Canis lupus familiaris: one gene and its partners. The protein of the gene in region 2 binds, or shares a complex with, the protein of the main gene of each other region. Links are inferred from orthologs where the notes say so. Each region holds a gene or a part of one and is shown on either strand. Other genes may lie near its edges. The genes, in order: SMARCD2, SMARCA4 and ARID2.

Region 1 (3,646 bases), on a different chromosome or scaffold from region 2:
GAGAAGCCTGGGGCCCTGGCAAGCCTAGGGGGGCTGTGTGCCTGGGAAGTCTAGAGCAGATGTCTGGGAGGAGCCTTTTCCACCCCCTGCCGCCTTGACTTGGGGCTTCCTGCTGCCGGAGCACCTGCCTGGGAGGGACGGGTAGTGCCGGGAGGTTTTGTGTACACCCCAGTGCATGGCTTCCCAGGGACCACAGGGCCCTGGCTTCCTCTCTGCAGACCCCACTGCTTCTGTTGCTCCTCCTCTGGCTTGGGGTGGGGAAAATGTGTCTAGGATGTCTGGAGCCTGGGCTTACAACTGTGGCCACACTAGAGGTTTTTTCTGTAATCTCTGGCCATGGCTCATTAAGGCTGAGAAACAGGCTTTCACCTTTGAACAGCTCAGATGAATCTTTTCGTGATGAGGAGAAGTTGTGGCAGGACTCCCGAGCCCCCCCCCCCCCCCCCATGTTTAACTCCTCCTCCCACCTGCTCTTCTTTGCCCTTCCCTCCATCTCTGGTTATTTTTCTCCATCTCTGCCTCTGGTCAAGAGTCTGACCCTCTGTGCCGAGAACATGAGTTCAGTGCTAGATGAGAAAGTGGGGGAAGAATCTCATCTCCATGATACTGGGTGGGAGGGTGTGTGATACAGGGGGGGTCCTCTGATTTGGTGCAATTCCACACCCAGCCTGGCTTGGTTGGGTAGTTGTGCCGGTTGCATAATCTGGGCCCTGGGGCCAGCCCTGTGAAACTGCCAGGGACAGTGTGTGCAAGGCAGAGCTGCCAAACAGGCCTTGCCGGCAGCAGCTGTGGAGAGGGGGGCTGAGGGCCGGGGTTACTCCCAGAAATGTTGGGGAGCTGGGTTTGGATGGGAAATCCTTCTGCGGGCTTCTACAGAAGCCGTTTTTGTCACCCAGATTCCTGGTGGCCCAATGAGTGATCTCTTATCCCAGGATAATCTCTCCATTCTCCAGTTTGAGGTTGTGGGGCTGGGTTAAAGCCCAGCAGCCTCAGCTGCCAGGTGGTGCGTAGACCACAGGGTCCAGGGGCCAGCTGCTCTCCCACAGGCCACCCCGGAGCCCCAGCTCTCCTCTTGGGGTCTTCCGTGTTGGGGTAGGGAGCAGGGCAGCCCAGAGCTAGAGAGAAGGGTCCGGTTCTGGGCTCTAAGTAGGGGCCATATGGTGACCAGATGGTCTCTGTGCTCCGCCTGAGGCCACCCCCTCCAGCTGGGACGTGCTCCAAGCCTTCCTGCTGGAGCTTGCTCACCTGGGGTAGGCTTGCCAGCCCTGTGGACGGCTGTCCTCCCCGTGGTCACACCACTGCGCTGGTGCCAGGGGATGGAGGCTGGGGTTGTGCCTGTTCATGTCACACCACAGCCTCCACCTGGCTGGGACACTGCCCCACGCCATGCTTTTCTCTCAAACTGGGAAGGAAAAGGCCTGCGGTGCCGTCTGAGGGCGTGGGGACTGGCTGTAGAGCCTCACTGCCACTGCCGGCTGGTCCCGGGAGCAGGGTACGGCCCCAGGGGGCTGGAGGGTGGTGACAGGCCCTTCCCTCTCGGCAGGACTCTCCTCCCACCCCTGGGTGCGGGCAGGCCTCATTGGCTGCCAGCGATGCCCGGGTGGGGGGGCGGGGGCAGGGCAGGTGTGGTTTACATTTCTGCCCTCCAGCACCTGCTCTCCTTTGTTCCCAGCCCTCCCACTTGAGCTCCACAGTGTGCTGCTGTGGGCCAGCCCCGGGCCCAAGAGAAGGATGGAGAGAATGGGCTGTGGGCCCCGGGGTGCCCTGCCGCTGACCTATGCGCCCCCTTTGGTTTGCTTCCCCCAGCGGCCTGGTATGTCACCGGGGAGCCGGATGCCCATGGCTGGCTTGCAGGTGGGACCCCCTGCCGGCTCCCCATTTGGCACAGCTGCTCCACTTCGACCTGGCATGCCACCCACCATGATGGACCCATTCCGAAAACGCCTGCTGGTGCCCCAGGCCCAGCCCCCAATGCCCGCCCAGCGCCGGGGGTAAGACCATCCTGTTTCTCCTCTCTCTACCCAGCTCAGCTCTAGTGGTAGCAGAGCAGTTCCTTCTGCCCTAAGAGCTCTGATAACTGAGGAAGACTCCTGGCTCTTCCTGGGGAGGAACCCAGGGGCTGGAAGGGTGGGTGGGGGGAGGTGTGTTTGGACCAATGAGGTCTTAAACGAGTTTTTGTCCTCCCTAGGCTAAAGAGGAGGAAGATGGCAGATAAAGTTCTACCTCAGCGAGTGAGTATGTTGGGCGGGGGCCGACGAGGCCTGCCCAGTGGCTGGCAGACTGTGGGTGCTATCAAGCTCCCCCAATCCTGGGATGGGCGAGCAGGGAGCCAGAGCTGCTGCTTAAACAAGCCAAATTCCTTCCTTCCTCCAGATTCGGGAGCTTGTCCCAGAGTCTCAGGCGTACATGGATCTCTTGGCTTTTGAGCGGAAGCTGGACCAGACCATTGCCCGAAAGCGGATGGAGATCCAAGAGGCCATCAAAAAGCCTCTGACGGTGCGTGTGCAGCCCTGGCCAGTCCTTGGCCCTCAGACTTCTCTGCCTCTCCTTGGCCTTGATTGCCAGAGGCCAAGCATGGGGCTGTGATTTCTTGCACTGCCGGATGCAGCCCATTAGTGAAGCATGAACTCAATTTCATGTGGTGGGACCAGCATGTTTTTAACAAAATACAAAATAGAAGTTCTAGGGCAGCTTGGGTGGCTCAGCAGTTTAGCACCGCCTTTAGCCCCAGGGCGTGATCATGGAGACCCGGGATCGAGTCCTGCATCCGGCTCCCTGCATGGAGCCTGCTTCTTCCTCTGCCTGTGTCTCTGCCTCGCTCTCTCTCTCTTTCTCTCTCTCTCTCCCGTGAACAAATAAATAAAATCTTAAAAAAGTAGAAGTTCTAATACTTCACAGTAGTATAGTACTTACCATAGTGGTGAAAATGTCATTTTTTTTTTTAAGATTTTATTTATTTATTCACGAGAGACAGAAAGAGAGGCAGAGACATAGGCAGAGGGATAAGCAGGCTCCATGCAGGAAGTCTGACGTGGGACTCAATCCCAGAACTCGGGGATCATGCTCTGAGCCAAAGGCAGATGCTCAACCGCTGAGCCACCCAAGCGTCTCAGAAAATATCATTTCATAACATTTTGTTTCAGATATTTGTGTATGTATGTGGATCCTTGATCATGATTGAAAGCGTGATTCTTATGGATTGTGGTCAGAAGTTTGCAGGGCAAGACTAGAGGGTAGATAAGGGTAATTCCAGTCTCCTCCCACACCTCCCCACTCCTTTTAAAAAATAATACTCTAAAACAGTCCCCTGAGTAATGAAAGCTTTCCAGAGACAAGGTTACTTTGGGGCCTGATGACTGAGTTGTGTTTAAAGTGTGAGCTGGAAGCTTCTGATTTGCCCGATAAAACCCTGTATGTCCCTGTCACCCCACCGATCCCACTGTGCTGGAATTCGGAAGTCCCATCTGCCTCCCCCAGGACTGTGAGTTCCTTAAAGTCTGGGCCTGGGATTTCTGACTCCTGGTTTCCAGTGCCTAGCAAGGTGCCTGGCCCCTCATCCACAGGCAGTATCCATGCTGAATGAGTCCAGACAGAAACATCGGGTAGCACTGTGTCCCAGCATGTTGGCCCACTGCTAGCTGGCTGT
Region 2 (3,139 bases):
AGGACGATTGAGTCTTCATAGATCTGGAAGGAGACACGTGGGGTTTGAGTGGGCTGGGGCCCGATGGGGGCCACTGGCCCTGCCCTCTGGCCACGACAGCCTATGCAGGGCAGAGGGTCCTCTGTAACCCTTTCCCAATTGGGGCCTGGGACGTGAGACTCAGAGAAAAGCATGGCTGTGTTAATTTAGGAATGACTACCAGTTCCTCCCTCCCTTTGAAGGATCCCAGTGAGCATATGCTTCTAAGGGCTCTGAGAAGGTCTGCAGTAATGCTGGAAATGCATGTCCTTTGTTTAAGGCAGCATTTCCCTCAAATTTAGGACTGTAAAATCTCTTTTCCGTGTAGCATCTACCCTAAGCACAGTCAGGAAAAGTTTGCTAAGTTGCAGTAATGTATGTGTTAATTTCATTGCAGGAAAGGACACATCCACAGGATTCCTTTTAAGGAAGTCCTAGTGAATTCAAAGTAAAATTCAAACACACCCACCAGATTGCTCACAGGTCATCTTGGATGGGTTAGACGGAGTTTATTTTCGCTAATCTGCTTATTGTTCTTTCTGCATCTTTTAGTAAGGAATACGCTGCTTTTATAATTGACAAAATATTCCAAGTGGTTGAGAATTCTATTGTTTTTTTTTTCTTTTTTCTATTGTTTTTTTAAAGACTTTTTAAAAATTTATTTATTTATTTATTTGTTTGTTTATTTAATTTATTTATTTATGATAGTCACACAGAGAGAGAGAGAGAGAGAGGCAGAGACACAGGCAGAGGGAGAAGCAGGCTCCATGCACAGGGAGCCCGACGTGGGATTCGATCCCGGGTCTCCAGGATCGCGCCCTGGGCCAAAGGCAGGCGCCAAACCGCTGCGCCACCCAGGGATCCCCTAAAGACTTTTTATTTATTTATTCATGAGAAACACACAGAGACAAAGAGGCACAGACAGAGGCAGAGGGAGAAGCAGGCTCCACGCAGGGAGCCCGACATGGGACTTGATCCCGGGTCCCCAGGATCATGCCCTGGGCCGAAGGCGGCGCTAAACCGCTGAGCCATCCAGAATGCCCTGGGAATTCTATTTTAATCAATTTATTGTTTTCGTTTGTTTTTTATTTTTTAAAAGTCTTTTTATTTTTAAAGATTGTATTTATTTATGCATGAGAGACACACAGAGAGAGAGGCATAGACATAGGCAGAGGGAGAAGCCGGCTCCTCACAGGGAGCCAGATGCAGGGCTTAATCCCTGGACCTGGGATCATGACCTGAGCCAAAGGCAGAGGCTCAACCACTGAGCCACCTGGGTGTTTCCTTGTTTGTTTTTTAAAAGGAGAAAGATTTATTCGATCTGAAGAGAAACCAGAGTATTATTTGTTTTTTAAAGTAGGCTCCATGCCCAGCATCGAGCCCAACATGGGGCTTGAACTCATGACCTGAGGGATCAACAAACACCCAAAATGGGGCTTGAACTCATGACCTGAGGGATCAACAAACACCTGAGCTCAGATCAAGAGTTGGACGCTCAACTGAGAAACCCAGGCACCCCTTAATCAGTAAATTTTATTTATTTTTTAAAGATTTTATTTATTTATTCATGAGAGACAGAGAGAGAGAGACAGAGAGACAGAGAGAGAGGCAAAGACACAGGCAGAGGGAGAAGCAGGCTCCATGCAGGAAGCCTGACGTGGGACTCGATCCCAGGACTCCAGGATCACACCCTGGGCTGAAGGCAGACGCTTATCTGCTGAGCCATCCAGGGATCCCCTTATCCAGTCAATTTAAAACAGAGCAAGGGGCATGCTTAATTGGAGCCCAGCTGCAAAGACAGCAAAAATTAGGAGTGGGTGCCCTCCAACCCAGGTGCCTCCTCACCAGGGAGCCCTCCAGGTTGAAGGTCTGAGCATTCTGGCACAGCAGCATGACGTCCTTCTCCAGGTCATTGAGGCTGCGGTACTTGTGGTTGCGGATGCGTTCCTGTGGGTGATGGGAGAGGCAGCCTTAGCTTGGGAATTTGCCTTGTGCCCAGGGACCTTGAGGCCAGGAATCCCTTTGCCTCATAAGGTCATGGGCCCAGTCTTTTGGGTGCTTCTGTAGACTTGGAAGCCTGGGCCCACTGAACACAAGAGCTGCACTGCTGAAGCTTAGGCCATGGATAACCCTGAAGGAGCTCTGAGGAATCCCAAGAGCCTGTGACTAGGATCCCGGCCAGACAGCCCAGGCTCTGCTCAGTCTGCTCTGTGGTCATCTTTCCCATGCACCCCGGGGGGGCCCATATTGGGGAGGGACTGGGTCAGATTCCCCAAACATCCCTGTAGAGAATCCCCACTTCCCACATCTTATGCCAGGGTTACCTTTATCTTCTTGAAGTCCACAGGCTTGCGGATGAGCTCGTAATACTCGGGCAGCTCCTTGCGGGAGGGCAGCTGGATGAACACCTCGCTGAGCTGACGTCCACTACTACTGCAAGGTGGGACACAGTGGGCGTCACTCACAGGCCCTGCCTGCTGGGGGAGCCCCCACTTGGCCACCACCCATTGCTTGAGGAATGAGAAATTCAAAGCACTTTGGAGTTATTTCCTGTACATGTACTGTCTTGTGAGTTCTGGAACATTCTTGAGAGGAAAACATGCAAAGAGAGGCCAGGAATGCATTTGAACGCAGGCTCTGCCCTCATCCAACCTCCAAAGCCCCTGGAGGAAACATTGCCAAATGCTGTGCAATAGAAGCCTTGGCACTCCAAAGAGGTAGAATCATGATTACACCTATGTACTTTGCAAAAATCAGTTTGCTTATGGTGGTTGGGAGCAGTAAGTGCCAGTTCTCAAAGAGAGACCAGTTTTTGCAAGTTTTGCAAGCATGTCTCTCATAGGCAGCACTTAGGAGCAGTGAACTTCAGAGAATTTGGCAAAACCCGTGGAGGAGAAATGCCCCCTGGAAAGACCCTAGCGGAAGACCTGAGCGGTTTTCTAGTTCTTGCAATTGGGAAAGTACTGGTTTTTCACGAGGGAGCAGAGAAAAGACACTGTGAGCAACCCTGAGATGTGGCAGGGTCTTAAGTGTTGTCTCCTGGGCCTCACATATGCAGGTGCCGTGCACTTGGCCACCAGGCTGTGCCACGTCCAGGTCTGGATCTGTCTGGGGCCAGGAG
Region 3 (3,680 bases), on a different chromosome or scaffold from region 2:
ATGGTATCATTATTAAACAGCAATAAATACGAAGAGCACCCTCTGAGTTTTAAATCACCACCACCACCTAAAGACCCTCTATGAGTAAGCAAGCATTAAAAATAAAAGATGACCTCATAATAGGTTACAATATGAAAATATTCTTAGCAGAAAAAGGAAAAAATAAAGCTTAATCAGAAAATACAATATCTAAAGCGTACCACACATCAACTAAGAAACTTACTTTGTCAAAGACTGTCAAAAAAGGAGGGAGAGAATGAAAGAAAATCCAAATCATAGTATTCCATTTCATAGTATCCTTAATCTTCCTACATATATAATAATCCTTCTGAACGTTTTTAAGTCACTCAAAAATCCCAAAGAACTTATTCTAAAAAGAATCCTGGTCACCTAAGGCACCAAACATGCTATGCTGTGTGTAAATATTCTACTGAAAAACTACTCTGTTACACGGTTCCATGCAAGAGGTATCATTTTTGTTTTGTTTGAGAATCTTAAAGTGAGGATTTTAAAAGGCAAAGGAGTTTCCGAAGCCAAGCAAAAATTTTCCCAGGGGATACAAAGTTTCATTAACTATCTTAACTCTTTTACTAAGCATCACCTCTCTGCCCCTCCGTGGATATCAACCAATCAATAACAATGTCACAAAAGAACGTTTACCAAGATGGGAGGTGGGGTGTCACCTGTAATGATCCCGTATGAAAAATGTAAACAGTCCTAAAATAGGCGAGGAAAACTTTCACCTTCCTATACAACCTCACTTTATGGATATTTGATGTTTGTCGGACTGAAAAGATGAAGACAAGTTTAGAAACTGGTGTGCAAGGTTTGTTTGGGGGGAGTGGGGGGCTTATCCCTACCACCACCACCAAAAAACAAACAAACAAACAACAACAACAACAACAACAAAAAAAACACCCACAAATCTCCCCTTGAGTCCCTCAGTTCCAAATACTGTGCAAGAGTCACTACTACTCACCGCAAGTAATACTGTTTTAAAGCAAAGGCAGCGTTAGAACAACTTCTGGGAAAGTTGAACTCTTCAACAATTTCTCCCCACTGATTCTTCTCAGAAACCTGTTAAAAACACAGCCACACTTGTCTGAGAGTGCACCGTCCAGGGAGACTGCAGCCTAACCGTGAAATAAATACCCATTCTACAGAGATCTGAGGATACACCACCTCGGGCATCAGTGGGTGTTTGGGATCGATCCGTGAGGAGAACTAAGCAAGGGAGTGTGTGTGTGGGGGGGGGGGGGGCTCGAATCACTGTGTTTTCACCCGAGAGCCCTGTATTTAATAGCACTTGTTTTGTTTGGGGGGGGGGGGGGCGGCGGCGGCGGGGGGCCCGGGAGGGGGTGTGTGGGGGAGACTGGTGGGTTTGTTTTGTTTTTGAAGCCCGGACAATAACCAATCGCAAGTCCCTCTGTCGCCCCCTTTTAAATCTCAACGCGGTCCGTTTACACTAAAAAAAAAAAAAAAAAAAAGTTCAAAAGGATCAATACTGTTCCGGACAGCGACGTCGGCGGGTTCCGGGGGGGGGGCCGGGCCCGGGGCCGCTCCCGATCCCTCTCCCACATCTCTCCATCTCCATAGGCCCTTCTTTGAGGCCTACAGCTTCTGCCTAGCCTTGAAGCCTAAGATGGCTATTTGGAGACAGGTCCTGGTTTCTTTTGTTAGCCGTATAAACCGAGGGCGACGGGGCCGAGGCTGTGCCCCCGGCCGCCGGGATCATTTGGCGGCCGATTATCGATGTGAAACCTGCCCGCGCTAATTTTGAGTTGCACGAAAACTGCTCTCAGAGTCTGTGTGTCTCTGTGTCTCCGCCTGTGCTAGAGCGGCAGCCGCGGCGGAGCCGACTCGCGAGCGAGCGGGCGGGCGGGCGCGCGGGCGGGCGGGCGGGCGGGCGGGCGCGGGGCGGCGGGGCTCGGCCGGGCGGCGGGGCTCGGGCGGGCGCCCCCTGCACGCCCGCGCTCCCCGCCGCGGCGCTCGGACCCCGCCGGGCCGGCCGGCCGGGCGGGCGGGCGGGCGGGCGGCGGGCAGGGCGCGAGCCGGCGCCGGGCCGCCCGCCCGCCCGAGCCCCGCCGCCCCGCCGCGCGCACGCGAGCCACCAGGCCAAAAAAACAGCCCCGCCGCCCGGCCGCCTCCGTGCCACCGGCTGCGAGCGCCGAGAACGCCTTTTGCCCCCGCGGGCCACCGGGCCCCCCCCGCCCCGGGCCCCGAGCGCCCACTCCGGGGTCAAAGGAGACTTTTCGGAGCAGGCCAGCGAGAGGGAAATACGAATTAAAACTTCCACTCACCTTCGCGAATCCGCCTAAAGTAGTGACTCTGGTGTAGAGACCGTGAAGATCCAGCTCCTTCCCACCCACCGCAGGGATTTTTTTAAAAGGCGACCTGCGGGAGAGGAGACGAGAGAGAGAGAGAGAGAGAGAGAGGAGAGGAGAGCGAGAGGAGAGCGAGAGAGAGCGAGAGAGAGAGAGAAAGCCCCGCACTTGTCAGCCGGGACCCCGCGCCCGGCCCGGGCGGGAGAGCCCCGTTCGCCCCGGCTCGCCCCGGCGCTGCCCCCCCGGCTCTGCGCTCACCCTCTGCTGTGGTGGAACTGCCGCAGCTCGTCCAGGAAAGCGAGTCCCTTTCTCCGCTCGTCCGGAGGCGCCTTCCCCGTCGAGTTTGCCATTATTTTTGCAAAGGAGGTTTCAAAAAAAACCCGGATCGGCGTCTTAAAAGCGGCCCCCGCTCCCCGCGCGTCCTACCAGAGCCCGGAGCCCATTCCTCGGCCGGCGGCGGCGGCGGGGCTCAGTCATGGGCCGGCGGTGGCGGCGGCGGCGGCGGCGGCGGCGGCGGCGGCGGCGGCGGCGGCGCAGGGAGGGAGGGAGGGAGGGGGAGGAGGAGGAGGAGGAGGGGAAGGAGGGAGCCGGAGGCCGGGGGGAGAGGAGGGAAGGAGGGAGGGGAATTTCTAAAAAAGTTTAAAGAAATCGGAGCGAAACTAGAGGGGCAGGCGACTGCCGGATCGGCGCGAAGCCGCGGGGCGAGCGCGGCCCCCACCCCTTCCTTCCCTCCCTCCCTCCCTCCCTCCCCGCGGCCCGGCTCTCGCCCGCCTCTCAGCGCCGCCGGCCCAGGCGGCTCGGCCTGCGGACGCGATTCAACATGGGGCTGCTGCCGGGGGCGCGCGGGCGGGCGAGGGGCCGGGCGAGCCGACGGTGAGCGGCCGGAGGCCCGGAGTTTCGGCGGCGGCGGCGGCGGCGGCGGCGGGGCTGGGGCAGGCGGGGCTGGGGGTGGGGAGGGGGAGGTCTGTGTGGTGGTTTGTGGAGAGAGGGGTGACAGCGTGTATTCCGGCCGCGGCTCCGCGGGGCCCTCGCACACATTCACGCGCGGCCTGGGCCGCGGCGGCCGGGGCGTCCCCGGGCAGAAAGCACCGGCGGCGGCCGAGCCGCTGCGCGCCGCCCGCCCGCTTCCTTCCCCGCCAGCCTCGCTCTCTGCCGCCGCCGCCAGCGCCGCCGCCGCCGCCGCCGCCGCCGCCGCCACGGCCGGGCAGCCAGCGCCGCACAGCGACCCCCGAGGGCCGGCCGCGGCACTGCGCCCGGCTCCACACCGCCCCGGCAGCTCCTCGCGGGGAACAATAGACTCGGCTCGCCGGGCTTAGGGTTCATCTGCAATGTGCCGCACATTTCACACGCACACAA

The links.
Region 1: SMARCA4 (region 2) and SMARCD2 share a complex: the UniProt entries of both Homo sapiens proteins name them as parts of the BAF complex. The link is inferred for Canis lupus familiaris from reciprocal best matches to the Homo sapiens genes SMARCA4 and SMARCD2.
Region 3: SMARCA4 (region 2) and ARID2 share a complex: the UniProt entries of both Homo sapiens proteins name them as parts of the SWI/SNF-B (PBAF) chromatin remodeling complex. The link is inferred for Canis lupus familiaris from reciprocal best matches to the Homo sapiens genes SMARCA4 and ARID2.

Annotation. Positions count from the first base shown.
Region 1 is NC_049230.1:15,132,139-15,135,784, forward strand, and holds part of SMARCD2 (SWI/SNF-related matrix-associated actin-dependent regulator of chromatin subfamily D member 2), read left to right. Parts: intron 1-1,806; coding exon 1,807-1,991; intron 1,992-2,188; coding exon 2,189-2,231; intron 2,232-2,373; coding exon 2,374-2,496; intron 2,497-3,646. UniProt on the Homo sapiens protein: Involved in transcriptional activation and repression of select genes by chromatin remodeling (alteration of DNA-nucleosome topology).
Region 2 is NC_049241.1:50,578,588-50,581,726, forward strand, and holds part of SMARCA4 (transcription activator BRG1), read right to left. Parts: exon of another isoform or gene 2,452-3,139; coding exon 2,343-2,451; exon of another isoform or gene 1,966-2,342; coding exon 1,864-1,965; exon of another isoform or gene 1,693-1,863; intron 24-1,692; coding exon 1-23. UniProt on the Homo sapiens protein: ATPase involved in transcriptional activation and repression of select genes by chromatin remodeling (alteration of DNA-nucleosome topology).
Region 3 is NC_049248.1:37,971,083-37,974,762, reverse strand, and holds the start of ARID2 (AT-rich interactive domain-containing protein 2), read right to left. Parts: upstream 2,826-3,680; 5' UTR 2,675-2,825; coding exon 2,583-2,674; intron 2,395-2,582; coding exon 2,301-2,394; intron 1,078-2,300; coding exon 980-1,077; intron 1-979. UniProt on the Homo sapiens protein: Involved in transcriptional activation and repression of select genes by chromatin remodeling (alteration of DNA-nucleosome topology). Required for the stability of the SWI/SNF chromatin remodeling complex SWI/SNF-B (PBAF).